Sus scrofa: one gene and its partners. The protein of the gene in region 3 interacts with the protein of the main gene of each other region in a pairwise test. Links are inferred from orthologs where the notes say so. Each region holds a gene or a part of one and is shown on either strand. Other genes may lie near its edges. The genes, in order: PLOD3, TRAPPC6A, RAB3IP, RUFY1 and PPL.

What was found.
Region 1: the proteins of RAB3IP (region 3) and PLOD3 interact in binary tests that used the Homo sapiens proteins (3 or more experiments, as listed by UniProt). The link is inferred for Sus scrofa from reciprocal best matches to the Homo sapiens genes RAB3IP and PLOD3.
Region 2: the proteins of RAB3IP (region 3) and TRAPPC6A interact in binary tests that used the Homo sapiens proteins (3 or more experiments, as listed by UniProt). The two-hybrid records come from large-scale screens. The link is inferred for Sus scrofa from reciprocal best matches to the Homo sapiens genes RAB3IP and TRAPPC6A.
Region 4: the proteins of RAB3IP (region 3) and RUFY1 interact in binary tests that used the Homo sapiens proteins (3 or more experiments, as listed by UniProt). The two-hybrid records come from large-scale screens. The link is inferred for Sus scrofa from reciprocal best matches to the Homo sapiens genes RAB3IP and RUFY1.
Region 5: the proteins of RAB3IP (region 3) and PPL interact in binary tests that used the Homo sapiens proteins (3 or more experiments, as listed by UniProt). The two-hybrid records come from large-scale screens. The link is inferred for Sus scrofa from reciprocal best matches to the Homo sapiens genes RAB3IP and PPL.

Annotation. Positions count from the first base shown.
Region 1 is NC_010445.4:8,911,271-8,913,580, reverse strand, and holds the end of PLOD3 (procollagen-lysine,2-oxoglutarate 5-dioxygenase 3), read left to right. Parts: intron 1-142; coding exon 143-247; intron 248-761; coding exon 762-908; intron 909-1,131; coding exon 1,132-1,257; intron 1,258-1,362; coding exon 1,363-1,518; 3' UTR 1,519-1,794; downstream 1,795-2,310. UniProt on the Homo sapiens protein: Multifunctional enzyme that catalyzes a series of essential post-translational modifications on Lys residues in procollagen. Plays a redundant role in catalyzing the formation of hydroxylysine residues in -Xaa-Lys-Gly- sequences in collagens.
Region 2 is NC_010448.4:51,586,681-51,590,980, forward strand, and holds the start of TRAPPC6A (trafficking protein particle complex subunit 6A), read right to left. Parts: upstream 2,817-4,300; 5' UTR 2,795-2,816; coding exon 2,663-2,794; intron 1-2,662. UniProt on the Homo sapiens protein: May play a role in vesicular transport during the biogenesis of melanosomes.
Region 3 is NC_010447.5:34,041,181-34,044,696, forward strand, and holds part of RAB3IP (rab-3A-interacting protein), read left to right. Parts: intron 1-400; coding exon 401-604; exon of another isoform or gene 605-753; coding exon 754-810; intron 811-2,642; exon of another isoform or gene 2,643-2,874; intron 2,875-3,516. UniProt on the Homo sapiens protein: Guanine nucleotide exchange factor (GEF) which may activate RAB8A and RAB8B. Promotes the exchange of GDP to GTP, converting inactive GDP-bound Rab proteins into their active GTP-bound form.
Region 4 is NC_010444.4:78,994,084-78,997,599, forward strand, and holds part of RUFY1 (RUN and FYVE domain-containing protein 1), read right to left. Parts: intron 3,376-3,516; coding exon 3,306-3,375; intron 3,192-3,305; exon of another isoform or gene 2,822-3,191; intron 2,013-2,821; exon of another isoform or gene 1,894-2,012; intron 820-1,893; coding exon 718-819; intron 1-717. UniProt on the Homo sapiens protein: Activating adapter involved in cargo sorting from early/recycling endosomes. Regulates retrieval of proteins from endosomes to the trans-Golgi network through interaction with the dynein-dynactin complex.
Region 5 is NC_010445.4:37,459,161-37,463,302, reverse strand, and holds the start of PPL (periplakin), read right to left. Parts: upstream 2,817-4,142; 5' UTR 2,802-2,816; coding exon 2,230-2,801; intron 1-2,229. UniProt on the Homo sapiens protein: Component of the cornified envelope of keratinocytes. May link the cornified envelope to desmosomes and intermediate filaments. May act as a localization signal in PKB/AKT-mediated signaling.

The DNA of each region.
Region 1 (2,310 bases), on a different chromosome or scaffold from region 3:
CCTGGTCCAGCCCCATTCCTCCACATTCTCTCATGGCCTGGTTTCCCTTTCTGCTCCCTGCTTCTTCTCCCTTCCACTGGCTGCCTATCCGCTCCCCGAGCGTCACCCTGCCCTGTTCTTCCCCCGCCCCGTCTGTCCTCAGCCCTGCCCAGATGTGTACTGGTTCCCTCTGCTGTCGGAGCAAATGTGTGATGAGCTGGTGGAAGAAATGGAGCATTACGGCCAGTGGTCAGGAGGCCGGCATGAGGTGGGGTGCTGGGGCAGGGGAGCAGGAGGGCCCCTGGGAGGAAGAAGAGGCTGGGGCTGGTGAAAGGAAAATGAAATTTAGAGAGTGGGAGCAGAAAGGGGTCCCCAAGTGGAAGGGGCACAACTGTATTCATTCATTCATTCAAGAAATGCTAGGTGGGTCCTAGATGCCAGCCACTGACTTTGGCAGTGCAGTGCGTTGATGAATTGTACGGGTCGAGCCCTGCTCTCCTAGGTCTCACCTGCTGTCAGTAGCAGCAGTGACCCAGCTTCTAAAGGCTGTGCTGGGCAGCCCAGGTGCTGTGGGAGTCACAGGAGGGGCCCATGCCCCAGACATGGGGGGACCAAGGGGCTTCACAGAAGAGGTGGCATCTTACCTGAGACTCAGAGGCCCAGCAGGAGTGAGTCAAGCTAAGGAGTCAAGACTTCCAGATGGAGGGAACATAAGCTTTAAGGCCTGGGAGCAGATGAGGAAGCTGGCACTGCCCTGTCAGCTTAGTGCCCACTGCCCGCAGGATTCAAGGCTGGCTGGAGGCTACGAGAATGTGCCCACCGTAGACATCCACATGAAGCAGGTGGGCTATGAGGACCAGTGGCTGCAGCTGCTGAGGACATATGTGGGGCCCATGACCGAGAGCCTGTTCCCAGGCTACCACACCAAGGTGACCGCTGAACCTGCTACCCTGACTCCACCTTCCTAGAACCCGGCTGGCCGTCTCCATGCAGCACCCTTTTGGGTTCCTGAGGCATTTGGGACCCCATGGAGTGAAATCCTGCAGGAAGGCAGCCCCCCTGGGGGGGGGTAGCATGAGAGCCCCTGCCACCTCTCCCCCTCCCCAGACCTCAGGACCCCCACCTCCAGCCTCTCCTCCCATGTCCCCACAGACCCGGGCGGTCATGAACTTCGTGGTCCGCTACCGGCCGGATGAGCAGCCCTCTCTGCGGCCCCATCACGACTCATCCACCTTCACCCTCAACGTTGCCCTCAACCACAAGGGCCTGGATTATGAGGTGGGTCCCTGCCACGCTCCACTTCAGGGTGCCACCAGGGTGCCTGGCTGCCGCCCAGTCCCCGCACCTGTTCACACTCCACCCCGTCCCCTTCTCATCCTCCAGGGAGGCGGCTGCCGTTTCTTGCGCTACGACTGTGTGATCTCGTCCCCACGGAAGGGCTGGGGGCTCCTGCACCCTGGCCGTCTCACCCACTACCATGAGGGGCTGCCCACCACACGGGGCACTCGCTATATCATGGTGTCCTTTGTCGACCCCTGACACTCAACCACTCTGCCCAACCTTCCCTGCCATTGTGCCTTCTCGCGCTCCCTCCTTGGAGGGGGTGTGCCCTGCCTCTCGGGCGCATGTTCCGTGTGTCTGGGACTGAATGTGTTGCCCCGCCCCCACCACACGGCCCTCGGCCCTCGGGAAGCTCAGGAAGCCCCCTTGCCCTGCTCCTCAGCCCCCAAGCATTCCCAGGGAGAGGGCTTCTAGGGGTTCGCCATGTAATAAGTTATTGTTTCTCAGTCTCCCTCAATAAAGGAGGATTTGTAACTCTCGCGTCCATTGATTCTTTGATCTACCTCTGGACCCCATGTCCCTCCCGCCACCCAGAGTGAAGGGGAGACCGGGGTCACTCCAAAGGAAAAGAACAGAAAAGACGAAAAGGCAGAAGCATGATGCCAAAGCAGAGTGGGAGCCTGGAAGCTTCCTGCGACCCCATATCTAACTCCCTGTCATCGCCTGAGCATGAGGGCCAGACCAAAAGGGCCTCCCTTGTCTGGCTCAGGTGAAAACCCACCTCCTCAGCTCTCTTCTTCTATTCTCTCCTCTCCTGATGGCATCTTCTCCCTCGTGTGAAGGCTGGGGGTGGCACAGACCTGAGCTGGGCTGCAGGGACAGTGCTAGGGAAGGAAGGCCCTCCTGGGGGCAGGTGTTCTATAAGGGAAGACAGGCTGGAACCTGACGGTAGCTGCTTTGGATCAGAAGGGAATCGGGAAGATTAACCCAAGAAAGCTTCCTGGAAGAGAGGGATGGGAAGCAGCCTTGAAAAAGAGGAGACCTCCTGGA
Region 2 (4,300 bases), on a different chromosome or scaffold from region 3:
CGACAGTCATCACTCTGGCTACGTGCAGGGACCACCCAGAAGCCGGAAGGCCCAATGCCCAGCATAACCCCCCCGCCCCCCGCCAGGCCAGCTCCATGGGAATCTCTGGCGTGGGACCCTGGCACGGGGGGACTGCCAGGCTGAGGGTCCCAGGCACACTCGTGCTCTGAAAACCCTGTGCTGCGCAAACCTCAGTAGCCGCGTGTTCCCCATTCCTGCTTGGGCACAGAAACCCATGACACTCCTCCCGGAGGAAGATGTGCTAAGACAAGCGAGAGTTTATAGCCCAGGCTCTGGAAGTGGGAGGTCTGGTTACATTCCTGACTCTGCAACTTGACAGTGAGGACTCCATCCATCAATGCCTCCATCTCCTCATCTACAAAGCGAGGAGGATGGCGCTGACCTCTGTGGGTTGTTGGGAGGATCGAATGAAATCCGGGAGTGTGAGGCCCAGGAGGGCAGGTGGTGGGGCTATTACCAGTCACAGTACTGAATAAATCCCCGTCCCTGCCACCCTCCTCCAGGGCACAGGGGCTGTGCGCCCTTCCTCCCCACATCCACACTGAGGACCTGCTGCCTGCCACATGGCCTGCAGCCTGGCAGAGGAGGCAGCTGAGAATCAAAGGACTGTGCGGAGACATCATTCAGCTCCCTATTCAATGCGATATGGGGAGGGGGCTGTGCGAACAGAACAAGGATACCTACTTCCACGGGGCGGGGGGGGGGGGGGGCCCTCAGGGAAGGCTTTCCTGGGGGAGGGGCATTTGAGCCAAGACCAGGAGGATTTAGAGGTGTCAGGGCAGTGACGAGGTGACAGGTGGAATACGCTGGGAAATGAGGGAGGAGACTGGTGTGGGGCAGGGAGGGGACAGATGGAGACATTTAGACAGCAGAACAGGCCGGGCTTGGCAGATGGTTGGAGGCAAGGGAGTAGAAGCAGAGGTTGGGGACTCCTGGATTTCGGGTTTGAAAGCTGGGACGGATGGGGTGCTGAGACCCTGCACCCTCCCCCCAGCCCCCAGGCCAGTCACTCCCCCTCCTCTGCTTTATCTTTTTCACAGCATTTTCCTCAATGTGCAAAATCTGTTCACTTACTTGTCTCCCTCACTACAGTGTAAGCTCCAGGAGGGCAAGGGTTTTGCACAATTTGCTGAGTAATCCCCAGAGCCTAGGGCAGGGTCTGGCACCTTGCAGGTTTTACAGTTCATTGAATGAATGAACTCAAAAAAAAACCCTGTTGAGATGATAACAAGCAGCACCCTTGTTAGGGCTCCCGAATGGGGAAGAAGACCTAGGCCAATAAAAGTGTCTTGCATGTACATGATGAGATCATAAAAGGAATAATAATGAAAAAAGTGGGCACAGCCCCCGCACTTACTAAGTTCCTGCTCTCTCCCTCACCCTTTCTTCTTGGAAACATTTTATAATTGAGGGTTGATGTTGCACTTAGTGCTTTAAAGTCAGAGCATTTATTTATTTATTGTTTATGGCCACACGAGCAGCATGCGGAAGTTTTGCATGCGGAAGTTTTGGGGCCAAGAGTTGAATCCTAGCCCCTGGATCCTTTTATCCCTACTGTGTGTGGCTGGGAATCAAACCCCCACCTCCACCCTGACAGGATTCTTAGTCCAAGGGACCATGGCAGGAACTCCGTGAGCGTTTATTTTTTATAAGGATCAACTTCCAAATTGCCAAGCAATTTTTTTTGTCTTTTTGCCATTTCTTGGGCTGCTCCCGTGGCATATGAAGGTTCCCAGGATAGGGGTCTAATCGGAGCTGCAGCCACCAGCCTATGCCAGAGCCACAGTAATGCGGGCCCGGGCCCGGGCCCGCGTCTGTGCCCTACACCACAGCTCATGGCAACGCCGGATCGTTAACCCGCTGAGCAAGGGCAGGGATGGAACCCACAACCTCATGGTTCCTAGTCGGATTCGTTAACCACTGCGCCACGACGGGAACTCCTGCCAAGCACGCTTCTTACCCTAAGCTTTGAGGAAGACTTCCTGCCCCCTTCCAAATGCCCTTCCCCCTTCTATTCCTCAGAAAAGGCCTTCCTCCACCATCCACCATCCATCCCTTTTCTTTCCTCGATTCTACTTAACTTTTCCTTACAGCACTTCTCACTAGCTGGTGGCATGGTCTACTTTTATTTATTGTTTGACTTCTCTATTAAAGAGTAAACTTCGCGAGGACAGGAAAATAGTCCTTGGAATACAGCAGGCGTTCAGTAAGTTTGTCGAATGAATGAATGCCTCACTTTGGGTCTTGGGTGCTGTTATGATCCCATTTTACAAGTCAGGGAATGAGGCACAGAGAAATCGAATAATCGGCTTTCACAGCCAGCGTGAGGGACGCAGGCAGTAAGTCCTCAGTATATAGCTAGTAATCATACTTATTCTAATTACTATCCGCTTACTTTGTGCCAGGCTTTGAGCTTAGGGCTTTACTCCGAGCTGTCTCGTTCAGTTCTAGCAGTAACCCGCGAGGCTGGCCCTGCTGCGACCCCCGCTTTGCAGAGGAGGAAGCCGTCGCCCGAGGTCACCTAAGCGAGGCAGGTGCGGGCAGGAGTTCGACCTGCGCCGCCCGCGGCCTCGATCTGGCCTTCCTGCCTCGGCCCGTGCCTCTTTTCCCCTTCTCCCCACCCCCAGGGCCCGGCGCTCACCCCGGGGCTGGGGTCTGGGTCGTGCGCCCACAGCTCTGCTACCATCTCGGTGTGCAGAAACTCGAACAGTGCCGCGTCCGCCATGTGCCGGCCTCTAGAGCCTAAGGACCGCCCAGCGCCTCGTGCTCTCATTGGCCCAGCTGGGGAAGCCCCGCCTCCTGTGTCTGAGCGCGAGCCCGCCTACTCTCGCTTCCATTGGTATTTCAGACTAGCCCCGCCTTCCTTCCCTGGGCTCTCGTGGTGCGCGCGTGAACCTGGGAGACTAGGGGGAGGGCTTGCTTTTCCTACATTGGCCGCACGTGACAGGCATCTCCGCCCTTCCCTCCGTCTCTTCCCTGTTTCTGGGCCCTCGAGCATTTCCATTGGCCGAGTCACTGGTTACACGCGACATCTTCCCTTTTAGAATCCCTAGTTGTCCACTAGCCTCACACCACAACCCGGAAGCTCCAGCCCAGCCGCTTTCCTATTGGTTGTGCCCCTATTCACGTGGCTCGTCGCACACGCCCTCAAAATTGGTCTTGAGGGGCTAGCTTCCTAGTTGGTAGCCGAGAAGCCCAGGTGATTGGCCGTCAACACCTGCAAAACCTGCCCTCCTATTGGTTGGGGCTGCCGCCTTCCTCCTTTCTCGGTAAAGAGCGCACTTCAGCTGGGTAGCGGATCCCGCAGGCTCGGAGCGTCGGTGACCCGGTACGGTCTTCGGTGATAGCGTTCCCCACCCCGCCCCCACTGGTGCACCCTCCCCAGAGTCCAGCTGGACTGTCCTCCTGTCTGTGACCCAGCCGTTGGTCCCTGCGCGGCTCAGGAGCCCGTATACTTGCGAAGGACGGTGCGGAGGGTGTGGCTTCTGCTAGGAGGCAAAATCCGAAAGAGCTTAGTTTGGGAGTGTGGGAACTCGTGCCTTGAGCGAGCTGGTGGTCCTCAGTTTTTCCTAAGTCAGCTGAAGAGGCTGGGGTCCAGTAGCCACCACCCCGCCGCACATCATCATCATTAGGGACGGTGAGCGCTGTTTGCTGAAAAGGAAACTGAGGCCCTAGCAAGGGAAGCAGTTGGCCCCAAATTGCTAAGAGTGGAGGGGTGAGAATCCAGAACCTGCACCTTTTAACCACCGCGGGGCGCCCGCCTCTCACATCGTCCCTTCGTGCGTCTTCTCCCTAGCTCGGCTCCATGGCGTCCCAGAGTCGTCGGCGGAGGCCGCTGCGGAGGCCTGAGACGATGGTGCCGGGGGAGGCGGCCGAGACCGACTCGGAGCTCTCTGCGTCTCGGAGGAGGAGGAGCTGTACCTGGGCCCCTCGGGCCCGACGCGTGGCCGCCCCACGGGGCTGCGGGTGGCTGGCGAGGCCGCGGAGACCGACTCCGACACGGAGCCGGAGCCGAAGGCCGCGCCGAGGGACCTGCCTCCGCTCGTGGTGCAGCGGGAGACGGCCGGGGAGACCTGGGGTGAGGAGGAGACGCCGGCACCCGCCCCTGCGCTTTCGCTGCTGCAGCTCCGGCTGGCCGAGAGCCAGGCGCGGCTGGACCACGACGTAGCGGCCGCGGTGAGCGGCGTGTACCGTCGTGCGGGCCGTGATGTGGCCGCCTTGGCCGGTAGGCTGGCGGCTGCCCAGGCCGCGGGATTGGCGGCGGCCCACAGCGTGCGCC
Region 3 (3,516 bases):
CATGTATTATCAAAAGGGTTATGTAATCACATTTTGAAGTTAATGTTTATTTTCCTAACTCACTAAAAAAAGCCATCAAAATGTTGTTAGGTTTTACTAACTGCAGCTAATCATAAGCTAGTTTTTAATATATTTTGGAGATGTTAAAAATTCACTTTAAGTGCAATGTTAGACATTTTGATAATTTTAAAAATTTCACCTGACACGTGAGTATCAGCTAAATCCAAACCATATGGAAACATTAAAAAAGTTGGTTTTACTTTCATTACTCCATAGGAAGTACAAATTAAACTTATATTTCATCTTTGAAAGGGAAGTGTTTTGACCAAATTACTAACATTTAGCTGCATCTATCATAAACGTACTTAGCGTATGTGATTATGTTGATTTTTTCCCCAAGATTGATGTACTTCAAGCTGAAGTGGCTGCATTGAAGACACTTGTATTGTCCAGTTCTCCGACATCACCTACACAAGAGCCTCTGCCAGGTGGAAAGACACATTTTAAAAAGGGTCATACACGAAATAAAAGTACAAGCAGTGCTATGAGTGGCAGTCATCAGGACCTCAGTGTGATACAGCCAATTGTAAAAGACTGCAAAGAGGTAACTCGTCCAGGACTGTCCCCTCTGACTCTGTTGATACTTATTCTCATCACTGAGATGTCGGTTATAATTTCTGTCAGCAAAATATGTAGTACAAAATATTCAATATTAAGATGGGGGAGGCTTTATCTAGAGCTGGCTGCTTTCAGGGATTCTTCAGTTCCCTTCTCTACCTGGCTGACCATGGAGTACCTGCTGGAAACTTGGTAAGTTTCTTAATCTCGGTATTTCTTTTAGGGAGCAAACTGTTGTGTGTTGGATGAAGGAGAGTGGGTGGCTTTCATGGTCTGGCTAGACAAAATTTATTGTTAGAGTGCTCTAGCAAAGTATGAATATAAGAAATGTGTGAAAATATTTAGGTGATTTTCTTAAAGAACAGCACATTCCAGAGGCAGAATTTTATATTGGTAAGGTAGTCCTGGAGTTAATTCAGATAATGAAGAACAAACAATAGAATTAATGATAGCCTTATCCTTTTAGCGGTATGTTATAAAGATAACTGAGATAATGTAGAAATATTTTGAGCAGTTTTGAGTAATAATTGTTAAAACTGTGTAATATTTTTTACTTAAATACAATGAAAAAGTATTTCCAAGGAAATTGATCAGTAATTTATGGAGCAGCTCTCGCCCATTTTTTTCTTAAAAACTGTATTTTACATTGTTGAGTTCAAGGTCATCATTAATCTTTATGAAGCTGTGTGTGTTTGTTCAGATTTTTTTTGCATGAAAGCAAGGAGTTTATTAAACTGAACAACCAAGGTTAGGTTACCTCTTCTAGTTGAATTGTATTTTGTTTAGTTATTAACGGAAGAGATGATAGTGAGGGAGCAGTTCAATATTTGGTCAAAGATGAATGTGACAAAATCTGAAATTCACAGTGGTGTCTTTTAAATATTAAAGAACGCTTTTAGTCATAACTTTTAATTCTGATTTCTTTCAATTTAAGTAGCACTTTTATTTTTTTTTTTTTTTTTTTTTTTTTTTTTTTTTTTTTTTGTCTTTTGTCTTTTTTGTTGTTGTTGTTGCTATTTCTTGGGCCGCTCCAGCGGCATATGGAGGTTCCCAGGCTAGGGGTTGAATCAGAGCTGTAGCCACCGGCCTACGCCAGAGCCACAGCAACGTGGGATCCGAGCCGCGTCTGCAACCTACACCACAGCTCACGGCAACGCCGGATCATTAACCCACTGAGCAAGGGCAGGGACCGAACCCGCAACCTCATGGTTCCCAGTCGGATTCGTTAACCACTGCGCCACAACGGGAACTCCAAGTAGCACTTTTAATTGCTTGATAAAGCTTACATATTTGCTGTGGTTTCTCAGTGTAATCATGTACCTTTCCCCCCTGTTGTTTATGCTAAGAAAATTTAAGTGTTTTCTCATGCTACATTTTAAAGTTTTGTTTTTAGTTTATGAAATTTCCTTAAAATATGAATAGGCAGCATGTAATTTTTTTGCTTTCGAGATATGTCCTGTAATCTAATACTTTGTGAAAAACTTGTCAAAAGGTTTCCTTAGACAAAGGAAACACTTAAATTTGTGTAAGTCTTAGAAAAAGATACCACAATTGGAAAGAAAACGAAACATGTCCATGTTTCTACAGAAAATGTGCTAGGGGCATTCAGTCAATGCATTTGCAGCTTATCTTCTGAAAGCATTTAAAACACACGTGTGCATGCACAGACACACAAGTAGGCAAGGCTTTGAGGTTAAGTCACTCAGATGTGAACTTTTACTGGTTTCTTGTTCTGTAACCTTGGTCAAGTTATTTTCTCTCTAAACCCTTGTTTCCTTATCTATAAATGGGGACTATAATATTTATCTTGCTCAACTTTGAGGATTAATGTTTGTGAAGCGCTTGCCATAGTCCCTGACACAGAGTCAGCTCTTAATAAATAGTTTAAATTACTGCCTTTTAACTAGAATCATTTCTTGGAACACTTTGGGCCTTATATCCATCAAAGGGTAGACTTTACAAAGAATGAATTTGAAAATGTAAGTATTACTTACCTGCTAATATTTTTATCCTTCTGCCTTTAGCTTTGATTCAAGGAATTTATGGATTGGGATGAAAAAATTCACATTGAGATTGCCGTTGTACACCTTAGAGGAAGGTCTGTAGGAAAGCTGGGATACAGTCAGGCTTTTGTTACTTTCACGTAGACTACGTGCACATCCGATTGAGCTGTCCTAGAGGCCATGGCTGCAGTCAGTGCTCCACTAATAGTGTATCCAGTGCTTGAGGACAACAGTGGCTTAGAGCTGCCAGAGGGTGAGGGACGCTACTCTGTGTTTGGGTGGCTGTGGGTGGGTGTAGCTTCATATGTGGACAGGTAGTACTGAGCTGAGCTGAGGGAATCTGTGGAGAAGTTTACTTGGGAAAATTTATTAAGTTGGGTAAGAAGAGAAGGGACAACTGGAAGAGTGAATAGGAAGGCGGGTGCCAGCCTCGATTATTGTTGACAGTCAGATGGTAGGTACTGGAGGCTGAAATGCCAAAAAATGTCTGAATAAATGTTATATTTTTAGATAGTCAATCTAGAAGGCTGTATGTGTGCTACTTTTAGTCTTGCTGCTTATACAATAAACATTTTGGAAAATTCTTTTGGAAATGCCTTCAGGTAATAGTAGAACAATTGGTGTCACTTTTGATCCCAAACTAGCTTTCACAATTTAGTGAATCTCCATTTATTCAAACACTTTTATTAACTTGGCTTCCAAATTACTTTTTGATTATTTTCAAAAGAGACTTAATCTTATGCATATATTTAGAACAGTGTGCACTTTTGTCTTAAGAGCAGCTCCAACATTATTATTATATTTTTTGGTGGTGTGGATAATGGTAGTATCTTGGACACCATAGTGGATACATTGAAAAGGGACAGCTAGACATTTGGGAGATTGGATCGTTTTT
Region 4 (3,516 bases), on a different chromosome or scaffold from region 3:
CTGCGTTGCCGTGCGATGTTGGGTGGGTCGAAGACATGGCTCAGATCTGGTGTAGCTGTGGCTGTGGTGTGGGCTGGCAGCTGTAGCTCCAGTTTGACCCCTAGCCTGGGAACCTCCATGTGCTGTGGGTGTGGCCCTAAAAAGCAAAAAAAAAAAAAAAAAAAAAATGTGGAAGTTTCTGGGCCAGGGATCGAACCCACACAACAGCAGCGATCCAAGCTGCTGCAGTGACAACACTGACTCCTTAATCTGCTGCGACACAAGAGAACTCCTTGTCTAGCAAGTTTTTAGTACTGGGTGAATTCTGAGATGAATCAGATATGGTCTTTACCCTCAAGCTGCCAGGTGAAACAGCTGCAAGCCAGAGATTTACAAAACAGGAAACGGATTCTATAATGGAAGGAAGTGCAAAAGGCTATGGGAACAGAGGAGAAGGTCCCAGGCTGACTGATGAGCAAGAGGGACAGCACCGCAGGGGACCAGAGAGGAGCCAAAGAAGGAACAGAAACTTTCAGAAATGTTTACTCGCAAAGGCCTGGAGGCGAGGGAGGGTGTGCTTGGGAAACCACAGGAGGTCAGGTGGCCTGAGAGGGGCACAGCAGCAGGCAGGACTTTCTGCTGTCAAACGGGACATCTTTGCACATTCTGAGCTTGAGATCTGCGAGGGACGCGTCTGTGTGAGGAACATGCCGCCCAGCTGAGAGGCCAACTTCTCACCTCTACTCGCTTCTCGCTTCTCTCACGAATTAATTCGTTTTGTTCTCTCAATTGTTGCTGTTCTTCTTGAAGTGAACAAATCCGGTCTGTTGCAGCTGCAAGCTGATTAAGAGAGATTTTTATATTTCTTATCATCAAAATGAATCTTGCCATTCAAATGACATCTTTACAACTGCCAATGTGTTATTTTCACATATGGGATATTTTATTTTTTATTTTATATCCTTGTTTTGAATAGGTAATAACATGGTAATAACATGGTTCCTAATTCCAAAGACATAAAAACATAAACAGTAAAAGCGCTCTCCCACCCCTGCTCCTAGCCATCTCTGCCCTCCCCAGATATTCTTTTTTACAAAAATGATAGCATATTCCTTCATGTGGGCAAAGATTTATGGACACAAAATACTAGAAACAGCCTAAATGTTCAATATTAGAAATGGTTTAATACATCCCGGAGGAAGCATAAAACAGAAATAGGTAGTTATTAAAATGTTCACAAAAGCTTTTAAAGATTCGAGAACATAACACCTACAGTATGGAAATAAAGCAGGTCATAGAGTATGTTCTCACCTCTAATTAAAAAACAAAACAAAATAAAAACTCAACCATGTTCAAAATGCTTAAGAAGAGATGAGGAATATATATACATATATACTGAGGGATAAAAATAGCTATCACTTAGCCAAGGGATTATGGTTTTTTTTTTTTCTGATTCTTCCTTCTTTTTAGTTTTTCCAGCCAATGGGCACAAGGATATCTTATCACTGGAGAGAGAATTAGAGAGTCTGGGAGAGGAATTGCAACCAAACCATTAAAGGCCTACCCGAGGAAGACATCTTCCTTGCCTTGAATGAGTCAATGTAGTTTAGGGAAAAGCCTATAGAAGCAGAATGCCTTCACGGACCTGCTGAGGAGAGGCGAGCAGGAGAGGCAAGGTAGGGGAGTAAAATCCCCAACCAACCCACTCTTATCCAGCCTCTGAACCGGCCTGGAGAGAGAAGGTGAGGCTGGAGAAGGAGAAAGAAGCAAGACATCTGCCCTCTGTACTTGGCTGTGTTCTCAGCATCATTCGCTAATGAACTCCTCACTGCCTCCTGGTCAACAGCGTCCAGGTCCACGCGGACTCGAAAACCCAGACCCAGGATGGGCGTTTCTCAGCATAACAGCTGTGCCCAAGTCAGAAACTTTAAGGCTTTAAAGGAGGTGCTAGTTGCTACAAGAGAAGAAGCAGGCAAAACCCACAAGCTAGTTCCCATTCTACTCTCTGGACACAGCACATCCTGAAGACAGAGGTATGCTTTTCTCTAAAGTACATTTTCTATTACAATTGTTTGTCTTTGAAAAAAAACCCACAAAAACCCAGTTATTTATTTATTTTTTTTTAGTTTTAAAAGCTCAATTACACTTTCGTTCAAAGCATGCTACCTTATCTGGGGGAACAAAGAGTGAATCTGCTTGTTCTAAAATCAACTAAGGTGTCTTGAGTTCCTCCACATGCCAAGTGTTGGGTGAGGCACATTCATGTGGTATTAAGCAAATTTAATCTTTATACCACTACTGCAAGGCTATCATCCAATTTGGAGATGAGGAAAGTGAGGCTCAAAAACCGACCTAACTGAGGCCCGAAGGGCCCTTCACCCCGCCCTGGTGAGACTGGGCCCCTCAGTTCTAAGTGTGCTGAGGTTTCTCCCGTGTGGTCCACCTACAAATGCCGTCTCTGAATTTCCTTCTCCTGTCACAAATCTGGGCTCCTCTCCTGAAAGCTGTTCAGGGCTGGCCCCTCAGAAGAGAGCAGGAAGTTTGGAGTGAGCTTTAGAGTGGGGGCCTCCGTTACAAAGGTGTGCCCTAGGGCTCTCCACACCGTGGGGGGTCACTCTCGGCCCCCTCACAGCCCTCCTCCTCCTCCGAGAGACTTGGTGGGGAGGCCCGAGCAGCCAGGGACCGCTACCTGTGGAAAGCCTCAGAAAGGCTGAGCAACCCCCCTCCTGCTAAGAGGAGACAAGATGTGTCCGCCAAGGAGACTGCCGGGCAGCTGGCAGCAAGTTTTCTTCCTCGGCCTCAGCCCTCCTTCTTCCTGTCCTTTCATTCTCTCTCTTCCTAGTGAGAAAGCAGAGAAAGACCACACTGTGGGGAGACTGGTCCATGCTCCTGAGGGGCCGAAATACAGAAGGGGCGGGTGAGAGTACTGTGACCCATGACAGAGACTGTGCCTTCTGGGCAGCAGGGAGACACACTCCACCATAGGAAGGTCGGAAAGAGGAAGAGACAGCACGTTCACGACAGGAGCGGGGCTTTTCCAATCAGGACTCCAACCAATACTGGGCTACTGTGAGGTGATAAAACCTAGGTCGCTTGGAGTTGGCCCATGGTCAGGTGCAACGGCTCATGGGAGCTCTGGATGGGCCAGAACACGGACAGTCTGAGGATGCAAAGTTCTGAGAGTGCCTGTCCCGCGTGCAGCTCAACCCAAGGTTAGCAATTTCCATTCCTACCAGCAAGAAGCTCCTGTCAGACAGACCAACTGCACTGTTTCTTGTATTAGCCTTAGGGTCATTTTGTTTTAAGAATTTCAGTAAGTTACAAACCTCTTCTTGCAGCTTTGAATTAGTCTTTTCCAAGCCATCTATCTTGGTTTGAAGATCCCCGACTGTGCAGCTGCAAAAAATAAAATATTAGGGAGTTCTCGCCGTGGCACAGTGGAAGCGAATCCAACTGGGAACCATGAGGATGCGGGTTCCATCCCTGGCCTCGCTCAGTGGGTTAAGGATCCGGCATTGCATGAGCTGTGGTGTAGGT
Region 5 (4,142 bases), on a different chromosome or scaffold from region 3:
ATTGAGAGAGTTGGGCAAGAGGCTACTCCCCGCCCCTCAATCTGGTCCATGAACTTGTCCCCACCAAGGGGGAGGGGCACAGGGATATGCTGGGCTGGCAAGACCTCACAGGGAAATGCCTGGCGCTACCCAGGGCTGTGACTGTGCAAGGCCACGGGGACCCAAGAGAAGAGCTTCTCACCCCATCTTGGGGAGAGAATCAGGACTGCTTCCTGGAGTAAGAGGCCTCTAAGAGATCTGGGACCAGCCAGTCATTCAGCCAGGGGCAGAGGGTGGCTGCCTTGGGCCAGGGGTTATTGAGAAGGGCAGGACCCGTGTCCTCGTCACCCTGAGTCCCCAGAACGCTAAAGGATGGGAATTCCTTCCTTCCTGCCCTTTGCTGGGAAGGCCAGGACACTCCCAGCTTGTCTGGAGTCATTATAACCTTTTGTTGGGTCCAAGCCTCGGCCTTGGGGGACTGGGCAGATGGATGGAAGCAGGAGAAGGGGGAGCAGAGGGATGGGGCCGGCAGAGGGCAGGGTGGGGCTGGGGCATCTCCTGATGTGTGGGTGTGGGTGTGTGTGAAGAACTGGGGGGGCCCCCGTCTTGGTAGGGGGAGGACAGAACAGTCCTCCGGGGCTGGCATGGAGCATTTGATTGTGCAAGAACAGTTCAGGGACTGGACGGGACCCCAGCTGGGTTTGCGAGCCAGCTGGACCCAGACACAGAGGAACAGCGTGCAGGGCCCTGCCCAATCCCTGGGGTTGTGAAAGACCACAGAGGCTTGCGGGGGGCGGGGGGGAATCTTGGGAGGGGAGGGTAATAAATGCCCCTGAACTTGAAACAGCTTAAAGGAGAGCTGGGACCAGGGTGGGGGGAGGGGGATGAATCACAGGACAGGGGAGTTTCTGAAAGGGTTGGAACTCAAAGAAATGGAGAACCCACCCTCCATAGGCCAGTGCCCAGGCTGCTTGCACCTGTCGGACAGGTCGGCCTGGACGGGACCACAGGGGCAGGGAGGGAGCCCAGGCCAGCGTCTCCTCACCTTCCTCTGAGGCCTGCAGAGGAGTGGGGGGTGGGGGTGGGGAAGAGGAGTCTCAGGTGAGGGCACCTTGGGGCAACTGCTGAGTTCCCCACCTGCCTGAAGGCCCTTGTCAGGAGAAGTTTGGGAAAGCTGTCTCCCAGCCGGGAGCCCCCACCCCATTTTCCTTAGAGAGGGAACAAGGTGGGGTCTTCAGTCCTGCCTCCTTCCTCAATCTCAGCATCTCCACCAGGCTCCCCTAAACCCCTTATTAAATGCATACATGAGGTTTATCAAAACGGACGTGGGCTGCTGCCTCAAAGCAAACACATCAAGACATGTCATTCCCTTTCCAGGCAACCCTGGGAACCCGCGGCTCAAAGAAGCTGCCAGTTTCGCTAGTTTCGGGGCTGGAGGGGGGGGGGCAGCCACGCCCCGGAAAAATCCCCGCAGGGAGATGGCCCAGTTGCTGCTCAGCTGCTGCGCAGACCCCGAAGGAGCGGGGAGTTGGGGGTGGACAGAGGGTGGACCCCCAGCCGGGACTCCCCCAACCCCACCCCACACCCACCCATTCCTCCGGACTAGATTGGAGAACTCAGGATGGCTCTAGAAGTAATGCTCCAGGTGGCACGTGCCCCCACCTCTCGCCTCCCCGACGCCAGAAGCACCTGCTCCTCCAAGAAGCGCTGGTGAACGCCCCCCTGCCCCAGGCTCCAGCTCAGTTTCACTGCCCTGTTGCGCCCCTAGACAGCTTCCTGGGTCCCCCGCGCTTCCCCCCAACGCCCCTGCCTTGGGTGTAGCATTCTCGGGACACGTCACCCTCCACCCTGGCCCAGGAGGACCCCCCCCCAGCCCCCTGCGCAAGGCGGTCCCCTGTCCCTCCAGCTTAGTTCCCCGCCTCTAAGCGCCTAAGCTGGTGCTTTCTGGGCTCCTAGAACTCTCTGGTACCAAACAGCGTGTCTTCCCTCGGCGACCGCAGCCCATCCCCATCCCCATCCCCAGCTTGGCGGTGCTTCCCAGCTCAAGGATGACCCTCGAGCCCCGTGTTCCCGCGGGTCGCGCACTCCTGGCCGGGTTTCCCCCGCTCCCTGGGCCTCCCAGGACAATGCTTCCTGGGCCCCCGCCGCAGCCCTCAAGGCCCAGCCGTTCCCCCAACACGCACACACGCCCTGGGCGGTGCATCCTGGCCCAGCGCGTCCGCAGCGCGCGGCATGCGGGCGCCTGCTCACCTGCGGGTCCGAACCGTGGGGCTGTATTTGCCTTTGTTTCTCTTCCTGAAGAGCGAGTTCATGGTGGCGCTCGGGGTGCGCGGGCGGGGCGGCGGGTCGCGGCGCCGGGCTGGGCACTGGACGGCGGAGGGCCCGGCACGCACCGAGGGGCGGGCAGCGGGCGCAGGTGAGCGAGCGGCGGCGCGGGAGCCCCGAGTGCAGCGCGGCGGCGGCGGCCGGTCACTACTCGCAGGGGGCGGGGCGCCCGCAGGCCGCGGGCGCTCCCGGCCGCTCCCGAGAAGGTGGTGCTTACCTTCCCCGGGGAGGGGCACCGGGCGGGGCTTCCCGGCACGCCGGGCGCGCGCCCTCGTCCGGGCCCGGCTGGAGCGAGCGGGACGCCCGCCCTGGGCTGGGGAGGGGGGGGCCCGCCGCGCGCGCCCCGACGCCGGGACACTGGAGAGGCTGGGCAGGCCGGCGGGTGCGCACTGGCGGCTTTCGCGAGCAAGCCGGGGACCTGCTACCTCCCACCCCCGGCCTGGCGCGCCCCCTGGCTGAGGTCCCTCTCCAGGCTCTAGGCTGCTCCTCTGGGGCATCAGCGCTCACCTCTCTTTGGCTGACATCCCCTCCCCCCAACAGGTGTGGCAGAGATCGGATGGGTCCCTGTGCCCCACAGATAGTGAATTACACCCAGGTGGTGGCAGGGTAGATGGTAGTTGAGAAAAGGGAGCCCTGGAGTGCGCCCGCCTGAGTTCAAGTCCTACCCCCACAAACGGTCAGCTGACTCCTTGGCGAGGCATCTTGCCGCTTCCAGCCTCAGTTTCCTTATTTGTCAAACAGTGATAACCACAGCCCCCATCCCATAGGGTTCTGAGGAGATTCCTGGAGAGACACACAAAGCGCTTAGGGCAATGCCTAATGTGTCAAGTCAGACTTGGCGCCAGGTGAGCCCGCGGCCGGGCTGCGCTGGGTGCGGGCAGAGAAGGCTGCAGTTAGACAGTAAATTGAGTCTGGCCCGGGAACTAGACGGGACCCTGAGGGCTGGGAGGACTCGGCTCCACTTTGGAGGGCACTGGGGGTGCGGAGCCCAGCGGGAAGGAGCGGCGCAGAGTGAGTGAGTCAGAAAGCATGGAGATAAGCCGCGGCCAAAGGGCTAATTAGGGCTCAGATGGGGAGCTATGAGGTCTGCGGGGCAGGAGGCAGGGGCTGGCACGGGGCATCGAGTCATCACGCCAGTCCCTTTCCCAGCTTTTTTTTTTTTTTTTTTTTTTTTTGTCTTTTTAGGGACGCAGGAAAGGCATATGGAGGTTCCTAGGCTAGGGGTCCAATCAGAGCCACAGCTGCCGGCCTACACCACAGACACAGCAACACCAGATCCAAGCCATGTCTGAGACCTATACCACAGCTCACCGCCACACCAGATCCTTAACCTACTAGTCAGGCCAGGGATTGAACCCGAATCCTCATGGATAACAGTTGGTTTTGTTACCGATGAGCCTTGACGGGAACTCCCCCAGCTGTTTTTTATTTATAAAATAAAGCGATTGGGAGTTCCTGTTGCAGCTCAGTGGAAACCAATCTAACTAGTATGCAGGAGGACGCAGGTTTGATCCCTGGCCTTGCTCAGTAGGTTGAGGATCCGTCGTTGCCGTGAGCTGTGGTGTAGTTTGCTGATGTGGCTCAGATCCTTCGCTGCTGTGGCTGTGGTGCAGGCCAGCAGCTACAGCTCTAATTTGACCCCTAGCCTGGGAACCTCCACATGCTGCAGGTGGGGCCCTAAAAAGAACCAAAAAAATAAAATAAAATTAATAAAATGAAATAAAATAAAATAAAAACTTTTCCTGCTCCAGACCCCAAGACATCGGAGAGCTATGTCCTTATTCCTAAGGGGGAACCTGTTGGTGGGCTTAAGGGGATCTGTGGATCCTCCTACAGTT